Linked DNA regions of Arabidopsis thaliana. The protein of the gene in region 4 interacts with the protein of the main gene of each other region in a pairwise test. Each region holds a gene or a part of one and is shown on either strand. Other genes may lie near its edges.

Region 1 (4,632 bases), on a different chromosome or scaffold from region 4:
CGTACTCACTCGTTGCTTCTCTACAATCATCGAAAAACGTTAATAAAAGATTCTAAAACCAAAACAAGATTTTGTTTTCTTTAGTAAAACAATTCAAAGCTTACATGTAATCACTTGGTGTCTTAGGCCAAATTGATAGATCTCTCTTCTCTTCAGGATACGCAAGATGAAAGAAGTAATCTTCCCATTCCAATTGTCCACTCGCGTTGTTAGCCAATTTACTTCCATAGCCTTGAATCTTTCCAGTGGCTTGATCGTTTGCATACTTCTCCTTCTCTTCCACAGACAAACTGAAAAACTCTTCTCCGGCTTTCTTGACACGCTCCATTAGATCAGCTGGTATTCCATGGTTGATCAAATGCATCACTCCCCAATCCAAAGATGCCTTTTTCAGCTCCTCAATACAATTCTCACGGATCTTTTCATCGTCTGACTCGATGTTCTTTAGATCGATTGTGGGAACTTGAGGACCGTCTTCTTTCTTCTCTTCTAGGAAAACATCGTTGATGCTCTCGAGCTCTTCTTTTGGACGAATATATTCTTTTGGAATCGATATGATTCCGCTTTTTGCTAGACTCTCAACTCTTTCAACCGCAACCATCTTCTTTAGTCTTCTGTTTAAAGCTAAAACAGAGCAGAAAACAGAGTAAGAAGTAAATAAACTTAAAAACAGGGGAAAAAACAGAGTAATAAAAAAAATGGATTTGTTTTGTTTTTCTTCTTACACTCTTTTTTGTAATTGGTTGCAAGTAAATGAAATGTGCAAAGACTCTTTCTTATATAGCAAAGTTTTTACTATACTTTTAGTTAGAAGAGTTTGTTACCGAACTAAGAGACATTGTAGAGCTACCGGTGGTTAGTGCTATTGTTGTGAGGTAAGTGCGTGACTCACTTCACGGTCAACGGGAGAGGATGGTTGGGTTGACTGATTGGTCAAAAAGATTACTACTATATGGGCTTGGGTCTAGACTCCCAGAAAAGGCCCAATAGAATTAAACCCATAATCGCTATCAACGTGTTCTTCGTCGCGTGCTTTAAGCGTGTCTCCACGTGTTCACCTCTACTAGTTCTTCTACTAACCACATTTTCTTTTTGTAGTTTGGAAATCAATTACTAAAAAAACAATTTGACTGGTTTTCAATTTCAAATAGACAATTGTATGTGGATCAATAATTCTTTTGGAAAACTAAATTATTTATCTTGTTTGTTTTTTAAAATTTGGAACTCATTTTTATTTTAATGGTTTGTACTAAAGTATATTATCAGCTGAATTCAACTACACATACTACATGTCAAATTTTTTTAAAAAATCACCATGTTTCGAAAAAAAAATCTTCTTACTCATCTCACAGTATTTTTTTTATTGTATAATCAAAGCCTAAAATTATGTCTTTTCTCTATTTTAAGTTTTTGTTTTGTTTAAGAAAACCGGATATTTAATGCTGACGTGGATATTCTGATTATGAGGATGAGAGGAAGGAAAAAATAAGAGAAATCTGCCTAGGAATTTATCTCCACACTTCTCTTATCTCCTAATTTCTTCCCTCCAAATTTATAATAAAACCAAAAAAAAAAAAAAAAAAAAAAATCAGAAGAAACCTGAGAAGCTCACAGTAAACACATCTTCAACCACAGGTTCATACTTACTGAAAAAAACAGAGGAAAAAAAGGAGCTCCCTTTTCTATCTCTAAGGGAAAATGGGTAGCAAGATGTTGTTTAGTTTGACAAGTCCTCGACTTTTCTCCGCCGTTTCTCGCAAACCTTCCTCTTCTTTCTCTCCTTCTCCTCCGTCGCCGTCTTCGAGGACTCAATGGACTCAGCTCAGCCCTGGAAAATCGATTTCTTTGAGAAGAAGAGTCTTCTTGTTGCCTGCTAAAGCCACAACAGAGCAATCAGGTCTTGATTTGGCCACTTTAGTCTCGATTTCGAACACTCCGCCTTAGTTTTCTGTTTACAAAGCCATTTGGATTCGAATTTGTTCACAATTGGGTTTCCAAAGTTTGAGCCTTTTGAAATTTAGGATATATTATTTTAATTCAACGTCTCTAGCTCTGAAAATTTATGTTTTTAAGTCACTAACTTGTAGTATCCAGACTCGAATCCTGTTAAAGTTCAATTCTTTGAAGGGTTTGATTGATTCAATGGCTATAACTTTGGTATAGTATATTTGTTTGTATTGGACTTTGTTGACTATTTAGTGGTTAACTCTGTACTAAAGTTTTGCAATGTCAGAAGTTGTGTAACTATTAGGTTGCATAAGTAAGGTATCAACTTTAGATTTGCTATGAAGTTCTCAATTACAGTCTTTTTGTCTTCCTTAAGGTCCAGTAGGAGGAGACAACGTCGATAGCAATGTTTTGCCCTATTGTAGCATCAACAAGGCTGAGAAGAAAACAATTGGTGAAATGGAACAAGAGTTTCTCCAAGCGTTGCAAGTAAACGCTACAATAAACCATTTTTTTTATAGTTGCCAAAACATGATATATATCTAATCTTCAAGAGCCTGAGAATTGCTTTTGTCTTTTGATTACAGTCTTTCTATTATGATGGCAAAGCGATCATGTCTAATGAAGAGTTTGATAACCTTAAAGAAGAGTTAATGTGGGAAGGAAGCAGTGTTGTGATGCTAAGTAATCATCAACTATGGGACTAAATTTCATTTCTTTGTTTTGGTTTCTTTGGTGCAAAGTCCTAAATCTTTTATTGGTAATATGAAACACAGGTTCCGATGAACAAAGATTCTTGGAAGCTTCCATGGCTTATGTTTCTGGAAATCCAATCTTGAATGATGAAGAATATGATAAGCTCAAACTCAAACTAAAGGTTTCCATTCACTTTTTATGCTTCAGTGAAAATAGACATACCCTTATAAGATTGGTTTAAGCTTCAAGTTTATGATTCTTTCTGTATCCATGTAGATTGATGGTAGCGACATTGTGAGCGAGGGTCCAAGATGCAGTCTCCGTAGTAAAAAGGTAAATAGAACATAAGATTCATTGTTAATATTAGATTATAGATAGATACTAATTTTCAGTCTTTATGAACTTCCTCAAATGTAGGTGTATAGTGATCTCGCTGTAGATTATTTCAAAATGTTATTGTTGAATGTTCCAGCAACCGTTGTTGCTCTCGGACTGTGAGTCTCTATACCGAGTTTTCTATTCAAACATCCAAATCATATGAAACCCATATTTCGTCTTTGTTTATTCATTCAATTCTGTACTTGCAGCTTTTTCTTCCTGGACGACATTACAGGTTTTGAGATCACATACATCATGGAGCTTCCAGAACCATACAGTTTCATATTCACTTGGTTCGCTGCTGTGCCTGTGATTGTATATCTGGCTTTATCAATCACCAAATTGATCATCAAGGACTTCTTGATCTTGAAGGTAAGAACCATTACCATTACTCAAGATTGCAAAAGAAAAACATCAAAGAGCCTTTTTATGAATGTTTCTTGTTTCACAGGGTCCTTGTCCGAATTGTGGAACGGAAAACACCTCCTTCTTTGGAACAATTCTGTCAATCTCCAGCGGCGGCAAAACCAACACTGTCAAATGCACCAAGTAAGATTTTACCTTCGAATATGGTTTCAAAAGTGTAACATATTACTATCTGATTCTTTGATTATCTCTGTTTTTAGCTGCGGAACCGCGATGGTGTATGACTCGGGTTCTAGGTTGATCACATTGCCAGAAGGAAGCCAAGCTTAAACCCTGTGAGGTACACATCTCATTTATAGTAAATTCTTTAGATCACATGGAAGTCAGAGATAGTAAAATTTGCTTTTTCCAGCTAGATGAAGATGGGAAAAGAAGAATGGGTTTTGTCAGAAGCAAAATAGATTCGAAGTTAAATGTATATGTAAGATCTTCCATGTTAGCTCTCTCTCCTTCACATGTTTTCTGATTTGTAAGTATTGTGTGTAAGCAATAAGAGATATATAATATGAGCACTTCTTCATCTACCTTTGTAGATAAAAATATAATCATTACTATAGTTAAATCAAATTGTATACATGAAAGACCAAATTCGAATTTAAAATGTTTATTTCGATAACTTTACAATTTCAAATTAACTTTGGTACATTTCTAATACTATTATGATTTGTATCTAAAACGACCTTAAAAAATGATTTTAAGTCAAGAAAACGAAAAGCATACACGATTATATACATTTGCTTACCGAGGCAAGAAACTATGAGAAATGCATGGTGTTAATTTGGATGTAAATTTTATGAAATGGTGTGGAACATAAAGAGATTGATTGAGAAGAGAACTAAAGTCAAGAACATATATAATGAAAGGACAGACAAAGGTAACAACATTGCACAAAAGAGGATAAAGTCACACAAACATTAGCACGCCAATGTCTCTCTCTTTTTTAGTCTAAAAATTGATTACAATTTTTTTTTATGAATTTTAATTAACACAGAAAGTGTAATCATGATCATCATCTTCCCATGCCTCTATCATCATTGATCCAATTTTCTCCTCCACTACTGAACCTATTAATTGCTTTTACGTTGATTTAAAAATTTTAAAACCTCTACGTTAGAACGGTCATATGCTTATTTAACAATTAGATCATGTCTTCTATAAAGGTAAAAGAGAAATCTGACAAATGAA
Region 2 (3,469 bases), on a different chromosome or scaffold from region 4:
ACCTCGGTAACTAAAAACCTCGCCTTTGTGATCATTCATCATCTTGTTTTAACAGCTTTTAAAAGCGGTTTAATCACCTGCAACTCTCTTTACTCTTCAGTTAAAGGAGTACATCGATGATACCGAAGATTTCATCAACATTCAATTGGTATACCTTGAAATCTTGATCTTTTTTAGATATCTTATTTGCTTAGAAAACCTTAAGAATCTGCTGAAAATTTCTGGAATTTGCAGGATAACGTACGGAATCAGCTGATCCAATTCGAGCTGCTGCTAACTACTGCCACATTCGTTGTAGCCATCTTCGGGGTTGTAGCCGGGATCTTTGGGATGAATTTTGAGATAGACTTCTTTGAAAAGCCTGGTGCTTTCAAATGGGTTTTAGCCATTACTGGAGTGTGTGGCCTTGTTGTATTTTTGGCATTCCTCTGGTACTACAAACGTAGAAGACTCATGCCTCTGTGAAGACATAACTACCCTGACACGTAGACGATTGTTTTACTGTTTATGTTGCTTAAATCTATACATTAATCGCCTGTGACCTTTACAAGATAAAACCCCGTGTATTTTTTTTTTGGGTTACTGAAAGATTATTAAGCAAACCATACCAGACTCATCTTGATCTTTCACTTTATGGATTGTCCTAGTCGAAACTCACAGCTCACACAACAGTATCGTAAAGGATGAATCCTTTAACTTATCGCAAATTTACATATCTTCGATAAAGAAACCTAAGTGTAGAGTGTAAAGATACATATCTGAACTGAACCACACTCTAGAACAGACATGGCTGAGTTTATAGACATGGAAACGATGATGTATGGATCCATTCACAAAATGTAGTTGACTAGAGTCTCCATCCAAGTGGGGGGAGATGACTACTTATCCGAGGATGAAGATGATGAGAGACGAGCTTTTCGAGCTTTATCAGCTTTTTCCAAGTAATCTTGGTGAGAACGATGCTTTGATCCTGAAACAAACCAGATTTACCAAACAACAAAAGCCAATAAGAGAAACAATTAGCCTATATAATGAACAAAACAAGGAGAATATTACCAAATGTCACATATAGCAAATAAGATATTTAACCATTGAGATTATGCAATTGAATCGATGTGTGATCATCAGGGGAAAAAGCAAACAAACTTGGTAAAAAATGTGATCATGCAAGTCTATTATGATCCAAACAGAATAAACATTGTGACTCATCATTATCATATAATCAAACTCTATTTGATCGACCACTTGATTGCATTTGCCAAGAAATATAAAGTTAGAAACTTTAGATTCTAAATCTTTCAGCTATTGATATCATCATCCTCTTCCATTTCGGAATCTACAGAGAAACATCTATTTATATATTTCAATCTAAATCGCCCAGAGAAAACGAACCTTGATTCATTAGATACCAAGGGATTCCGAAGATGATGGAGATAATCCCGATCCCAGCCAAAACGTGCTTCTTCTCCCCACTGTAGACATAGTGCTCCATCTTTGCCCTAATTCCTCCTCCTCCCAAATTGCTCTTGCTCTCATTTCCCATCTCGATCTCCACAGGTTTTGCTTCTTCTTCTTCTTCTTCTTCTTCTTCTTCTTCTTCTTCTTCTTCTTCTAGGGTTTATCAGGAATTAGATCCCTCTCTCTCTCGGATCTTTTAAAGAAATCTAAAATGGGCCCTATTTAGGCCCATTCATATTAGTGTTACTTTGTTTATTACCATATTAGACCCCATATTATCTATATATTCGTTTTTGACCCCATTAACTTCATATCCTCATCCCATTAAGACCATGTTTGAAATGTATTAATTTAAGCCTTCTCACTCACTCGCTATGGCCGCGATCGTTGCCATTGGTAGGAAACTCGCGCGAACGCCACAATGGCGGATTGTTCAGCATCAATCTCTGCTACGTCGTGCAGTGTCGACGTCGTTTTCGAGCTCAGTTTCCCAAAATCATTCCTTCTCTTCAGCATTTCATCGAGCAGGTCATGTGCATTCTCAAGTTTTAAGCTATCTCCCACATTTTGCCTCTTCTAATCGCTTCTCCACCAAAACCATCTCCGAAACATTTGATATCAACTTAACAGCATTGGCTCCGTTAGAAAAGGGTCTGATTGATTTAATCAGACAGGTCTCTGAGCTGGAGTCAGAGGCGGATGCCATGGCTTCTCTGGAGGACTCATCATTTGATCTAAATCATGATTCTTTCTACTCCTTAATCTGGGAATTAAGAGATGAATGGAGGCTTGCCTTTCTAGCATTCAAATGGGGAGAGAAACGCGGCTGTGATGATCAGAAATCTTGTGATTTGATGATCTGGGTGTTGGGTAATCATCAAAAGTTCAACATTGCTTGGTGTTTGATCCGTGATATGTTTAATGTTTCAAAGGATACTAGAAAGGCCATGTTTCTCATGATGGACAGGTTCGGTTTCGTCTTCTTGATAAAAGTTTCTCTTTTGTTGTGCTAAATTGAAAGATTTACTAGCTAGGTATTGAATTGGTTGTCTTGGTGACGGTGTTGATGTAGATATGCTGCTGCTAATGATACTAGCCAAGCTATTCGGACATTTGATATTATGGATAAGTTTAAACACACTCCTTATGATGAAGCATTTCAAGGATTGCTATGTGCATTGTGTAGACATGGCCACATTGAAAAAGCTGAAGAGTTCATGCTTGCAAGCAAAAAGCTCTTTCCGGTGGATGTTGAGGGATTCAACGTAATTCTTAATGGTTGGTGTAACATTTGGACTGATGTGACTGAAGCAAAGAGGATTTGGCGAGAGATGGGGAATTACTGTATCACGCCTAACAAGGACTCTTACAGTCACATGATCTCTTGCTTCTCTAAAGTTGGGAACCTTTTTGATTCTCTCAGGCTATACGATGAAATGAAGAAACGGGGATTGGCTCCAGGGATTGAAGTTTACAATTCCTTGGTTTATGTGTTGACCCGTGAGGATTGCTTTGATGAAGCTATGAAGCTTATGAAAAAGTTGAACGAGGAAGGATTAAAGCCAGATTCAGTGACCTACAACTCGATGATACGCCCCCTTTGTGAGGCTGGAAAGCTGGACGTAGCCAGGAATGTATTGGCAACCATGATTAGTGAGAACCTTAGTCCAACAGTTGATACATTTCATGCATTCCTTGAGGCTGTAAATTTCGAGAAAACTTTAGAGGTTTTAGGCCAAATGAAGATCTCTGATTTAGGTCCTACAGAAGAGACCTTTCTTCTTATTCTTGGAAAATTGTTCAAGGGAAAGCAACCAGAAAATGCTTTGAAGATCTGGGCAGAAATGGATCGTTTTGAGATAGTGGCTAATCCTGCTCTTTACTTGGCTACAATACAGGGCCTTTTGTCATGTGGGTGGCTTGAAAAGGCCAGAGAGATCTATTCAGAGATGAAATCAAAGGGGTTCGTAGGAAATCCTATGCTCCAGAAACTTCTTGAGGAGCAAAAGGT
Region 3 (5,223 bases), on a different chromosome or scaffold from region 4:
GTCTGAAGGGCAAAAGAACTCGGGTTATTGTGCGCAACCTGCTTGCATCCAACAGCCATCTTGCATTTCTGCTCCTACAACATGCTTTTCTCCACGTTATTTCTCAAGTAAATCCAAGAAAGACAAGAAAATGAAAAACGAAACTGGAAACCAGGTAAGTCCATTGCCCGAGCTCGTTGCTGAGCCCACAAGTGCTCGCTCAATGTCATTTGTTGGCACACATGAGTATTTAGCTCCTGAGATCATCAAAGGTGAAGGGCATGGGAGTGCGGTTGATTGGTGGACTTTTGGGATCTTTTTGTATGAGCTATTGTTTGGTAAAACCCCGTTTAAAGGGTCAGGAAACCGAGCAACACTCTTCAACGTTGTGGGTCAGCCTCTGCGTTTCCCAGAATCTCCAGTTGTCAGTTTTGCTGCTAGGGATTTGATTAGGAGTCTGCTTGTGAAAGAGCCTCAGCATAGATTAGCGTATAAGCGTGGTGCAACTGAGATGAAGCAACATCCTTTCTTTGAAGGAGTGAATTGGGCATTGGTTCGATGCGCTAGCCCACCAGAGATACCAAAACCGGTTGATTATGAGAGTGCGCCTGCTACTCCAGCAGCAGCCACATCTACTAGTGTCAAGTCTGACCAGAGTAATTATCTGGAGTTCGATTTCTTTTGACATATTTCAGCAAGAAAACTGCCATTAGATTTATCAATTTGTTCTTGGCGATCTGCAAATACGTTTAGTATTTTGAAAATGTGATAACTCTTTTTAATTCTTTGTCAATGCCATTCTTGAGAGTTCACGCTGAGATGGTTTTGTGATTACCTGCAACGCAAAGAAGCTTAAAAGCCCTAAGCTACTTTTCTAAATCAGAAATTGCGAAAGCTGAGATATTTTAGCAATAACACTCGGTTCTAAGAATCTTGAGAAGCAGAAGCAGAGTTAACAGGATACATATCATCAAACAGTTCTGACAAGAACCCTCCTTTAAATCGAAAGGAAAATGTAGTTTGAAAGCAGAAACAAAATCACAATGTCTTATAAGAACACAATACACAATCATCTTAGGGCTACAAATTTCTTCGTTACAACTGTTTGTAGCAAGTATAGGCAACAGCCACGGAAGCAGCAGCACAGACAACAGCAAGAGCAGCATAAGTATCTTCTCGCTCCCAGCTCTCTAACCATGTTGGTATTCCGCAAACCTTACGTGTCGAAGATCCTTTGTCACTATTAATTCTAAAGAAAGTCTTTTCTGCAATTTTTCTTCCTGGTGTCAGCTTCTCAGTGTTGTTTTCACTTTCAAGTTGATTATCTTCTGATGTTCCCAGTGACAACATCAGAGTAGTGTCGTCTTGACAACATGAAGAGCTGTTCCCATTTTGTTGGCAACAACCATTAGGTTCTGCAGCTCGTGACTGGCAACAGGAAACATCGGCGTTGTGAACCGATGATTCTTGACTCACTTTCCCATTGATCTTTACGGAATGGACTGTACCATTTAGCTGAAATCGCCCTTCTTGAGTTTTCTTCTGATCTTCTTCTGATAGACCCATTTCACCCCTAATAATCAGAGAAGCATCATGTGTGAATCTACCAATTACCACTAATCCGGAAACTGCGAGAAAACTGACAGAACAAGAAAACTTTGTACGTACCTCCATAGCCGGTCTACAATCTCGCCTTTGTTGATGTGCTGCTCCAAAAGAATAGGTACATCTTCTGGGGTCACATACCCATACCTAGACACAAGAATGATTCAATCATCAAGTCAAAAACAGGGTATGATTGATTCAGACATTGCAGAGAACTTCCAATGTACTAATAACAACTGAAGTTTGAAGATACCAATTAAAAGATCACAACCGTTCATGAAACCAACACCATTACAAATGTATTCTTGATCTTCTCATTCAAAATTATTGTAAAACCACATGAAAAAGATGAATATAGCCTCAAACTAGTTGATAAATCCGTAATTCCTTACTCACCAGTGTCCTGTGACTTCCCTGTTGATGTTTGATCGGTAGATGATAACATTCCCAGCGTATTTGTGACCACCTATGTGAGAACATGGGCTAATTGACACTTTACCTTGAAGACCATGGAACTCAAGTTCTTCTCTGAATCTACTAACTAGCGACGGCCCACAAACCCCACATCGCCGGTCTCGGGATCCATGGGAACATACAAAGACATATGAGCCTTTCAGCAATTCAGGATTTCCAGGCAGCCATTCACCATCCTTCACAAGCACCTCTTCCACAAAGGTCTCCACATCAAAGTGAGTCAATCTCCTGCAATTTTTGTTAAATCAAAACTGTCAAAAAAAAGTCCCAACTGTTGATAGAAAAAACGAAACCAAATCTAAGAAATCTCCAACTAGGAAGACTTCACCCCTTACCTGTATCTGATCATATCAGGAAAAATAAGTACATCACCATTGGATGTCTCTGTTCCATCATGCCCCTCACATATTGTGAGTCGAGTCTACGAAACAATGGCCAAAAAAAAAAAAAAAAACATGAGGCACAAAGCAAAAGACAATCATGAAGGCATCATCATGAGACTATCCGAAAAGAAGCAATCCATTACAGACACCATTTCCACTTAAGTTCACCACTGTCATAGCTCAAAAAACGGAGGTGCAAGTCCTAAGATCCCATCTTGAAGCCAATAGACAAGTTATTATGTTGTTAGCCATAGAATCGTGCCAAAAATAGAAACTTTGCCTTATTTGACCCATACAGAAATCCCAAGAGTCACCAGGCAAGAGTTTTTATGACTCATTACGACCTTAAACAGATACTTTAAGTAAGCCAAAACAAGTGAACGCAAATGCTTTTTGCTTATTTGGGAGACTTATTGGAAACAATCAGACCTAGATTTATGAGAATCAAGCAATATACTTGGAAACAGGAGATGCAAGTTAACAGCGAACAAGCTGAATCAATGGAATCAGAAAATAGTAGAGTAAAAAGCTGACCTCCTTCTTCATGCTACCCTTTCTGGCCGATACAGCAGCAGAGAGTAGCCTAGGCAATCGATCGAACTCAGCAGCCTCGATCCTTGCGGGCCAAACAGATGGCTTTTTGTAGCACAAGAAGACATGCCTCTCGTAAAACTGTACGGTTCCAGCTAGTTGTTCCGATCGGAAATCAGGACGAGCGAATCCAAAATCAGCGTCGTTGATGCTTTCTCCACCGCCTCCACCGAGTAAGCTCTCGCTTTGAAAACTACCGGAGCGAGAAGTGGGTTCGCCGAGAAAGTTGTCGAGATAGTCAGATACAGTGACTGGAGACGACGCCGTAGATGGATTGCTGGTGAAGGATAAAGGGTCGTCTCTATCTCTTCCACTTCCCATTTAAAAATTCGACCACAAGTTTGAAACTTTACAGATCGAAACTGAAACTACGGAGACGAAGAAGAAGTGAAAGTTTCTCAGTGATTCTTCTACTGAGAGAGGTCTGTCAAGTATATTCCGTTACTCTTATTCCGGTTTACTCCTTAATCGATATTCTATTTTGCAATCGGACCGGTACTTTTGCCTTTGTGTGTGTGACAGGTCTTTTCGAATCTAGTACATCAAATAAGATAATAGTAGCTGCAGCCAGAATGATAAAAGCCTGGACAAGTGTTGCTTATGCTTATAGTTAACCATGTTTAGCCATCTGCTTTGAATTCTATGTATTTGCAGTGTCTCCATTGCAATCTATTTAGGTACTCTGAATGTAACAACAGCAATTACATTCTTTTGGAACTTGTGTTTGGGTTGTCCGAAAAGGGGATGTAGAAGAAGAGCACAGATTCTTTTCTGTATATTTTGGTCCTGTAAGAATACAGACTCTCTTCTTCATCAATGTTAATCTTTGTTGTATATGTTTATGAGGTACCAATTCCTACATTTCTTAGACTGGATTTGCGTTGGTAGATTTGCAGATATGTTAGAGATAGATCAAGGATACAAGATGAGCATAAATTCCTTCTGCAATATTCAAAGTCTTAAAGGGAATCAAGAGAAACATATTATTCATTTATTACCATTGGCCTCCTTCAAACCAAAAGACATAAACAAAAGAAACCTTGACAATGTCTCGAAAAGGGAGCCTCACAAATCAAAGACAATCCAAGGAGGCTTTTATGTTAAATGCTATAGACATACAAGCAACCTATCCTTTGGCTATGCAGCTTCTTCCTCTTGTCTCTACCAAAAGTAAAGCTGCTTTACGCAGTTCAGACTCCAACAACAAAATATTACATCCACAGATTTAACTTACACATTTGCCAGATGACTACTAGGCATTAGGCAACAGTATCTGACAGAGAGACTCAATATGTGCGATGTGATCAGAAAGGAGTTTAGGCTTTCACCTCCTCACCACCACCAGACCCTCCTGCTTCCTCCTTCTCTGAATCCTCTTCTTTCTTTTCCTCCTCCTCCTCCTCATCTGCTAATTTGGTGAGCTCCTCTTGGATTATCATCTTTATAGATGACTTTCTTGGAGTGAGATCTTCTGTGAACTCCTTAGCTGAAAGATGGATGAAACAATGTGTTTATTTTATATATAACCAGGAATCACTGGAAAAACAAATGACTGAAACCAATCTGTTCATACCAAGTTCTTTAAGGATGTCCGTGAACGTAGCCTGCAGAAGAACAACAATGCTCTTATTAGGTTATCTAGGTATAGAAGGAAATTCACAGTTTGAATAGATATTGCACAACAAACTTCAAATCAGCTTTCAGAAAACGAAGGTTATTTCATGTAACCAATAAGTTTGTTCGGCAGAATCCAATTTTGTTTTATTCCACACACATCCCAAGTAGTTAAGTGTATCGCATATAAAAGGTTGAGAAATTACTCACCGTACTAAAGTCCACTCTTTTCAAGATCTCAACGATTGCATTTTTCAGCACTTTATCACTCGGCTTGTCTTTCCCTTTTCCAGCCCTTTTTACTTTTAGCATATAGACACAAACAGAGATAAACATGGTGTCAGAAAACATTAGTGGTTGTATATTGGTTCGCTTCTGAAAATGAAGATATAAGGAATAAGATTCTCCAATGCATCTGACATACACTACACCCAACATGTTTTTATTCTACCTAAGCGACCATCTTACTGGAAGAAAAAAACAGGATAATGACCAAACCTGGCTTCTCTTTTGATGCAGACTTTGAAGGAGCCGGGGAGGCCTTGATAGGGTTTTCAGACTTCTTCCTCTTAGAGGA
Region 4 (5,832 bases):
ATTTTTGTATTAAAATTGGTAACACTTATGTCACAATCTATGACCAAACGCAAAAGTCACTAAAACAGTGACAAATTGTGTCATCGTTGTTACAAAATTCTCGTAACTATACATGACATAAATTCAGTCACAATTATCGTATAATTTAGTTACTATATTTGGTCGCAAATCCGTACTTATATTTATGACTATATAATTTGTAACAAATTTGACATAATTAGTGACAAACATTAGTTACATTCAATTAAGTCATAATATTATAACGAAATAGTAACGTTTTTATGACCAAATAAATACGTCACAATTTTGTATGAAAATGGTCACAATTTTCTGACGAAAATAATGACCGTAATTTTTTCGTAAGAATATCGATTTCTGACCAGACGCTCTTCAATATCCGTTAGTAGTTGTGACACTTGAATGTGGTTTTGGACATGTCACCAGAAACTTGTCTTCAAGTGGTCTAACTGGAACCATGGCTGCTGCGATTCAAAATCTTACGCAACTAGAAACTCTGTAAGTAAGCTTGAATAATATACATACCGTTGCGTTTAAAAAAGCTACTCTCCAGCGACCGTGTTTCCAGCACTCCAAATTCATTATTTTCTGTTTAATGGGCTGATAAAACCCATGTTTGGCCCATAACAATTATTTCTGTTATTATAGCAACGTTGAAAAATATACATACCGTTGCGTTTAAAACGCTACTCTCCAGCACTCCAAATCGCCAATCGCGTTCTCAAACAGTGCTAATCGCCGATGAAGAGGTCTCATTGTCATCGCCGTCCTTCTCACGACGGGAGATTTCGCTGCCGTATATGGCCGATTTATCTCCGGAGATTCCTCACATTCGTCCTCCTCCTCACAAAAGTTATTGGGCCGGCTCAAAGAGATGGAATCAAAATTCTCTCAGTTTCATGGCCGGAAGGTAATTTCTCAGTTTATGATGTAACTGAAAATCCTTTAAAAATTTGAACTTTATGATTTTAGATATCTGATAATGGCGTCTTTGTCTTGAAATTTGTTTCTTCATGTTGACCCACTTCTCTTTAGATAATAGTCATTGTTGATAAATGTGAATCCTCTGCTTTGTGATTAGAAGCTGTTCTTGTCGATGAAGACGTCAAAATGTGTATTAATTAGTGATAAATTATCCGATATGATTCAATCAAAGTCACTGACCACTAGAAAGTCAAATCTCTTGCTTTCTCTCTGTGTGAACATTTTTTAATGCGTTAAAAGAGTGGTGACTGTAAAACCCTCTATTGACATATTCTCTTAAAAACACAGAAGTTGCATATTATTTTTTCTAAATACAAGTTGCATATATTCTGACATTCTTGGGACAAATCAAATTTGTAATTGTAAAGTTGCAATAGAAAACACATTTACTCATTCGTTTCACTGACTCAGGACATCTTGCCATGTTGCCAGAGGCTTGGACTGTTTCTTGGGTTTATCTATTTATACGCTGTGTTTCTCTCAAACTCTGGCATTGGTAAGGTTTTGATATCTAAAAGCAATTATGGATAGTCCTTGTTGGCTTTTGCTGCTGCTATTAGGAGCTTTTGCCATTATTGGTTGTGTTCAAGCTCAGGATCAACAAGGTACCTAAATCTTAATGGTTTATATGTATATTACACTACTACTTCTTACTGATTCGAGTCTTAGTTATGTTTGTATCTGAGATGCTTTTGATTTTTCACTCTCTTAACAGAGTTTATCAGTTTGGATTGCGGGTTACCCATGACTGAACCGTCTTCTTATACTGAGTCAGTAACCGGACTACGGTTCTCGTCTGATGCTGAATTCATCCAGACTGGTGAAAGTGGTAAAATCCAGGCGAGTATGGAGAATGACTACCTTAAGCCGTACACGAGGCTGAGGTATTTTCCAGAGGAGAGAAGGAACTGCTATAGTTTGAGTGTTGACAAGAACAGGAAATATTTGATCAGGGCTAGGTTCATTTATGGGAATTACGATGGTCGTAACTCTAACCCGATATTTGAACTGCATCTAGGACCTAATCTGTGGGCAACTATAGATTTGCAAAAGTTTGTGAATGGTACAATGGAGGAGATCCTTCACACTCCAACATCAAACTCTTTGAACGTTTGTCTTGTTAAGACAGGGACAACTACACCCTTGATCTCAGCCTTGGAATTACGGCCATTAGGAAATAATTCTTATCTCACAGATGGTTCTTTGAATCTTTTCGTTCGGATATATCTCAACAAGACAGATGGCTTTCTTCGGTAAGTGTTTTTTTTTTGGTTAACAGTGATGGATTCTATATTCCTATACTCTTTATTTTTAACATTCCTATACTTATTCAAGGATAATACAACCTTTGTTCCACATAGGTACCCGGATGATATTTATGATCGCAGATGGCATAATTACTTTATGGTGGATGATTGGACCCAAATTTTCACCACTCTCGAAGTGACCAATGATAACAATTATGAACCACCAAAAAAGGCTCTTGCAGCGGCTGCCACGCCTTCTAATGCCAGCGCGCCATTGACAATCAGTTGGCCACCAGACAATCCTGGTGACCAATATTACTTGTACAGCCACTTCTCTGAGATACAAGATTTACAGACCAATGATACCAGAGAATTTGACATATTATGGGATGGAGCTGTTGTTGAAGAAGGTTTCATCCCTCCAAAGTTAGGGGTGACTACTATCCATAATCTTTCTCCAGTGACATGCAAAGGAGAAAATTGCATTTACCAGCTAATAAAAACCTCGAGGTCAACTCTTCCTTCTCTACTTAACGCTCTTGAAATCTACACAGTTATCCAATTTCCACGGTCGGAAACAAATGAAAATGATGGTATGTTACTTATCTTCATTGTTATGCAGATACAGTCTGTTTTTTTTTTTTAACTAGAGAAATCAACTTCACCTGCTAATTCTCACATCCTTGAGCTCTACATCAGTGGTTGCTGTTAAAAATATCGAAGCTGCCTATAAATTGAGTAGAATCAGGTGGCAAGGAGATCCTTGCGTCCCTCAAAAGTATGCGTGGGATGGTTTGAACTGTAGCAACAACACAGATGTTTCTAAACCTCCAAGAGTATTATCCTTGTAAGTCGTAAGATCCAAGATATGAACATGCACACTTTGACACTTATCTTCAAAATAAGTTAACTATCATGCTTTGGAATCACCAGAAATTTGTCTTCGAGCGGTTTAACTGGAATCATTGCGGCCGCAATTCAAAACCTTACACATTTAGAAAAACTGTAAGTATGGCCATAGTTAATATTGGTTTTGTTGATGGAGGAAAACCTAATGAGCTCTACTTTATTTTGGAAATAAACTTTTAGGGACTTGTCAAATAACACACTAACTGGAGTGGTGCCGGAATTTCTAGCCCAGATGAAATCGTTGGTGATCATGTAAGTTGCTCAGCATATTTTCGTTTACTTTCAGTTCTCCTTTGGTTCATGTGTCTGTATGCATGAAGATTGCTCTTCTTTAATAGAAACTTAAGCGGCAACAATCTTAGTGGTCCCCTTCCTCAAGGTCTTCGAAGAGAGGGACTAGAATTACTGTAAGAAACTTCCCACGTACTTTTTAATATTCCACAGTTATTTTCCACAGCCCTTTTGTGATTTGATGTTTTTAACAACACTCTTTTTCTTGCAGAGTTCAAGGCAACCCAAGGCTTTGTCTCTCTGGTTCCTGCACAGAAAAAAACTCGAAGAAGAAATTCCCGGTGGTGATTGTTGCATCAGTTGCTTCTGTGGCCATAATTGTTGCTGTGTTGGTTATTATTTTTGTTCTCAGTAAGAAAAAGTCATCTACTGTGGGAGGTAATTTGCAGGAGATCTCTCATCAAATCAAGAAACTGCAACAAATCGATGAATTCTTACATACCCTACTTTTTTTCTTTCTTATCTATAGCTCTACAACCTCCACTGAGTATGCCAATGGTTCATGATAATTCACCTGAACCATCAATCGAGACGAAAAAGAGAAGGTTTACTTATTCAGAGGTTATCAAAATGACGAATAATTTTCAAAGAGTTGTAGGGGAAGGAGGATTCGGTGTTGTTTGTCATGGTACTATAAATGGTTCTGAACAGGTGGCTGTTAAAGTTCTCTCTCAATCATCAAGTCAAGGATATAAGCATTTTAAGGCAGAGGTATGCATAATCTTCTTAAAAATATGACCATCTAACGCTTTCTCTTACTTTTATTTCCCATGAATGATTAGGTTGATCTTCTTCTACGAGTTCACCATACAAATTTGGTGAGTCTTGTTGGATATTGCGATGAAAGAGATCACTTGGCTCTCATCTATGAGTTTTTGCCCAAGGGAGACTTAAGACAACATCTATCTGGTAAACTTGAATTTCTTCATGATTCGAAAGTGTATATATGTTTCAACGTTCCCAAGGATCTAAAGAATCAAGTATTCAGGAAAAAGCGGTGGGTCCTTTATCAACTGGGGTAATCGTCTACGAATAGCTCTGGAGGCTGCACTAGGTTCGTAAGCTTATTAGCCAATATTGGCAGCTTAAAATGACTTTCCTTCTGGTGGACTAACAAATAATCATTCCTTTGAATAGGATTGGAATATCTACATTCTGGATGCACACCACCAATTGTACATAGAGATATAAAAACGACAAACATATTGCTGGACGAACAGTTAAAGGCCAAGCTTGCCGATTTCGGCCTTTCGAGATCTTTCCCTATTGGAGGTGAAACACATATTTCAACTGTGGTTGCTGGTACTCCTGGATACCTTGATCCTGAGTAAGTGTCGTTAGTTACCATTACAATGTGCTGAAAGTGAGTTGTCATTTTGCACTTTATATATTGGTTAGAGAGTATAACCATGTACTTTTGCCGTGCAGATATTACCAGACAACTCGACTGGGTGAGAAGAGCGATGTGTACAGCTTCGGAATTGTGTTATTGGAGATTATCACAAACCAACCTGTGATTGACCAGTCCCGTTCAAAGTCTCACATATCACAATGGGTTGGATTTGAGCTTACCCGAGGAGATATTACTAAGATCATGGATCCAAACCTGAACGGGGATTACGAATCTCGTTCTGTATGGAGAGTTCTTGAACTGGCAATGTCGTGTGCGAATCCTTCTTCTGTGAACCGACCAAACATGTCCCAAGTTGCTAATGAACTGAAAGAATGTCTTGTTTCTGAAAACTTGAGGGAAAATATGAATATGGACTCTCAGAATTCTCTTAAAGTGAGCATGAGCTTTGACACAGAGTTGTTTCCGAGGGCAAGGTAGTATGTGCTGCAGGTAACACAACCATGCTAATTAGTTGGGCTATTGGTCATGTTTGCTTTGATCATCCACATGCCAAGATCATATACCCTGTTACTTGGTGATGTTTTCATTATTTTATGTGTGCTTAGTGATGTTTTCATTCTTTGTATGTGTGGCTTGGATGCTAATAATCATTGACCGTAAAAGAGTATACCTCTTTGTGGTTCCATCATTAACAAACAAATGATTTTGGTTAAATATTTGTAAAATGGTTGGAAGAGTATTGATTTAAAACTGTCAAATAGTATATAAAATTAAAGAAACAGATTATGGATTGTGATTTCTCAACATACATTTATCTGTACTCTGAAATTATTAGGCTCACCATTCACTTAAGGCTATGTCAAATATAATTGATGTGATAGTTTATTGCTTAACGTGCTTCTGGGTCTGCTCCATATCTTCCATGATTGAGTTCATGATAGTGATGTTGGGACTTTGCTGTCCTCTTTTTCTTATTCATTTTGTTGAATAGAAAATGCATTTACTCATTTCTTTTGGCTTGGCAAAGTC

Evidence for each region.
Region 1: the proteins of AT5G59650 (region 4) and PGR5-LIKE A interact in a protein complementation assay, tested with the Arabidopsis thaliana proteins (one large-scale study listed by BioGRID).
Region 2: the proteins of AT5G59650 (region 4) and AT1G80890 interact in a protein complementation assay, tested with the Arabidopsis thaliana proteins (one large-scale study listed by BioGRID).
Region 3: the proteins of AT5G59650 (region 4) and AT4G26620 interact in a protein complementation assay, tested with the Arabidopsis thaliana proteins (one large-scale study listed by BioGRID).

The regions. Positions count from the first base shown.
Region 1 is NC_003075.7:12,005,459-12,010,090, forward strand, and holds PGR5-LIKE A (PGR5-LIKE A), read left to right. Parts: upstream 1-1,527; 5' UTR 1,528-1,698; coding exon 1,699-1,897; intron 1,898-2,323; coding exon 2,324-2,436; intron 2,437-2,534; coding exon 2,535-2,631; intron 2,632-2,723; coding exon 2,724-2,824; intron 2,825-2,919; coding exon 2,920-2,976; intron 2,977-3,060; coding exon 3,061-3,137; intron 3,138-3,230; coding exon 3,231-3,393; intron 3,394-3,472; coding exon 3,473-3,570; coding exon of another isoform or gene 3,571-3,574; exon of another isoform or gene 3,575-3,647; coding exon 3,648-3,717; 3' UTR 3,718-3,727; intron 3,728-3,799; 3' UTR 3,800-4,078; downstream 4,079-4,632. Other genes in the region: LDOX (leucoanthocyanidin dioxygenase), read right to left, coding at 1-20, 105-601. UniProt on the Arabidopsis thaliana protein: Ferredoxin-plastoquinone reductase involved in cyclic electron flow (CEF) around photosystem I. The homodimer is probably not involved in CEF.
Region 2 is NC_003070.9:30,395,285-30,398,753, reverse strand, and holds AT1G80890 (GAG1At protein), read right to left. Parts: upstream 1,627-3,469; 5' UTR 1,544-1,626; coding exon 1,393-1,543; exon of another isoform or gene 971-1,392; coding exon 879-970; 3' UTR 544-878; downstream 1-543. Other genes in the region: MGT1 (magnesium transporter 1), read left to right, coding at 1-6, 101-148, 235-465; AT1G80880 (Tetratricopeptide repeat (TPR)-like superfamily protein), read left to right, coding at 1,833-2,425, 2,531-3,469.
Region 3 is NC_003075.7:13,426,525-13,431,747, forward strand, and holds AT4G26620 (Sucrase/ferredoxin-like family protein), read right to left. Parts: upstream 3,526-5,223; 5' UTR 3,354-3,525; coding exon 2,976-3,353; intron 2,480-2,975; coding exon 2,394-2,479; intron 2,287-2,393; coding exon 1,981-2,286; intron 1,732-1,980; coding exon 1,648-1,731; intron 1,553-1,647; coding exon 1,075-1,552; 3' UTR 665-1,074; downstream 1-664. Other genes in the region: D6PKL1 (D6 protein kinase like 1), read left to right, coding at 1-664; AT4G26630 (DEK domain-containing chromatin associated protein), read right to left, coding at 4,349-4,518, 4,606-4,636, 4,857-4,948, 5,145-5,223.
Region 4 is NC_003076.8:24,029,821-24,035,652, forward strand, and holds AT5G59650 (Leucine-rich repeat protein kinase family protein), read left to right. Parts: upstream 1-1,525; coding exon 1,526-1,607; intron 1,608-1,717; coding exon 1,718-2,255; intron 2,256-2,363; coding exon 2,364-2,819; coding exon of another isoform or gene 2,820-2,842; intron 2,843-2,901; coding exon 2,902-3,096; intron 3,097-3,182; coding exon 3,183-3,254; intron 3,255-3,338; coding exon 3,339-3,410; intron 3,411-3,496; coding exon 3,497-3,565; intron 3,566-3,660; coding exon 3,661-3,827; intron 3,828-3,918; coding exon 3,919-4,160; intron 4,161-4,231; coding exon 4,232-4,358; intron 4,359-4,437; coding exon 4,438-4,503; intron 4,504-4,586; coding exon 4,587-4,776; intron 4,777-4,877; coding exon 4,878-5,280; downstream 5,281-5,832. UniProt on the Arabidopsis thaliana protein: Required for accurate photosynthesis.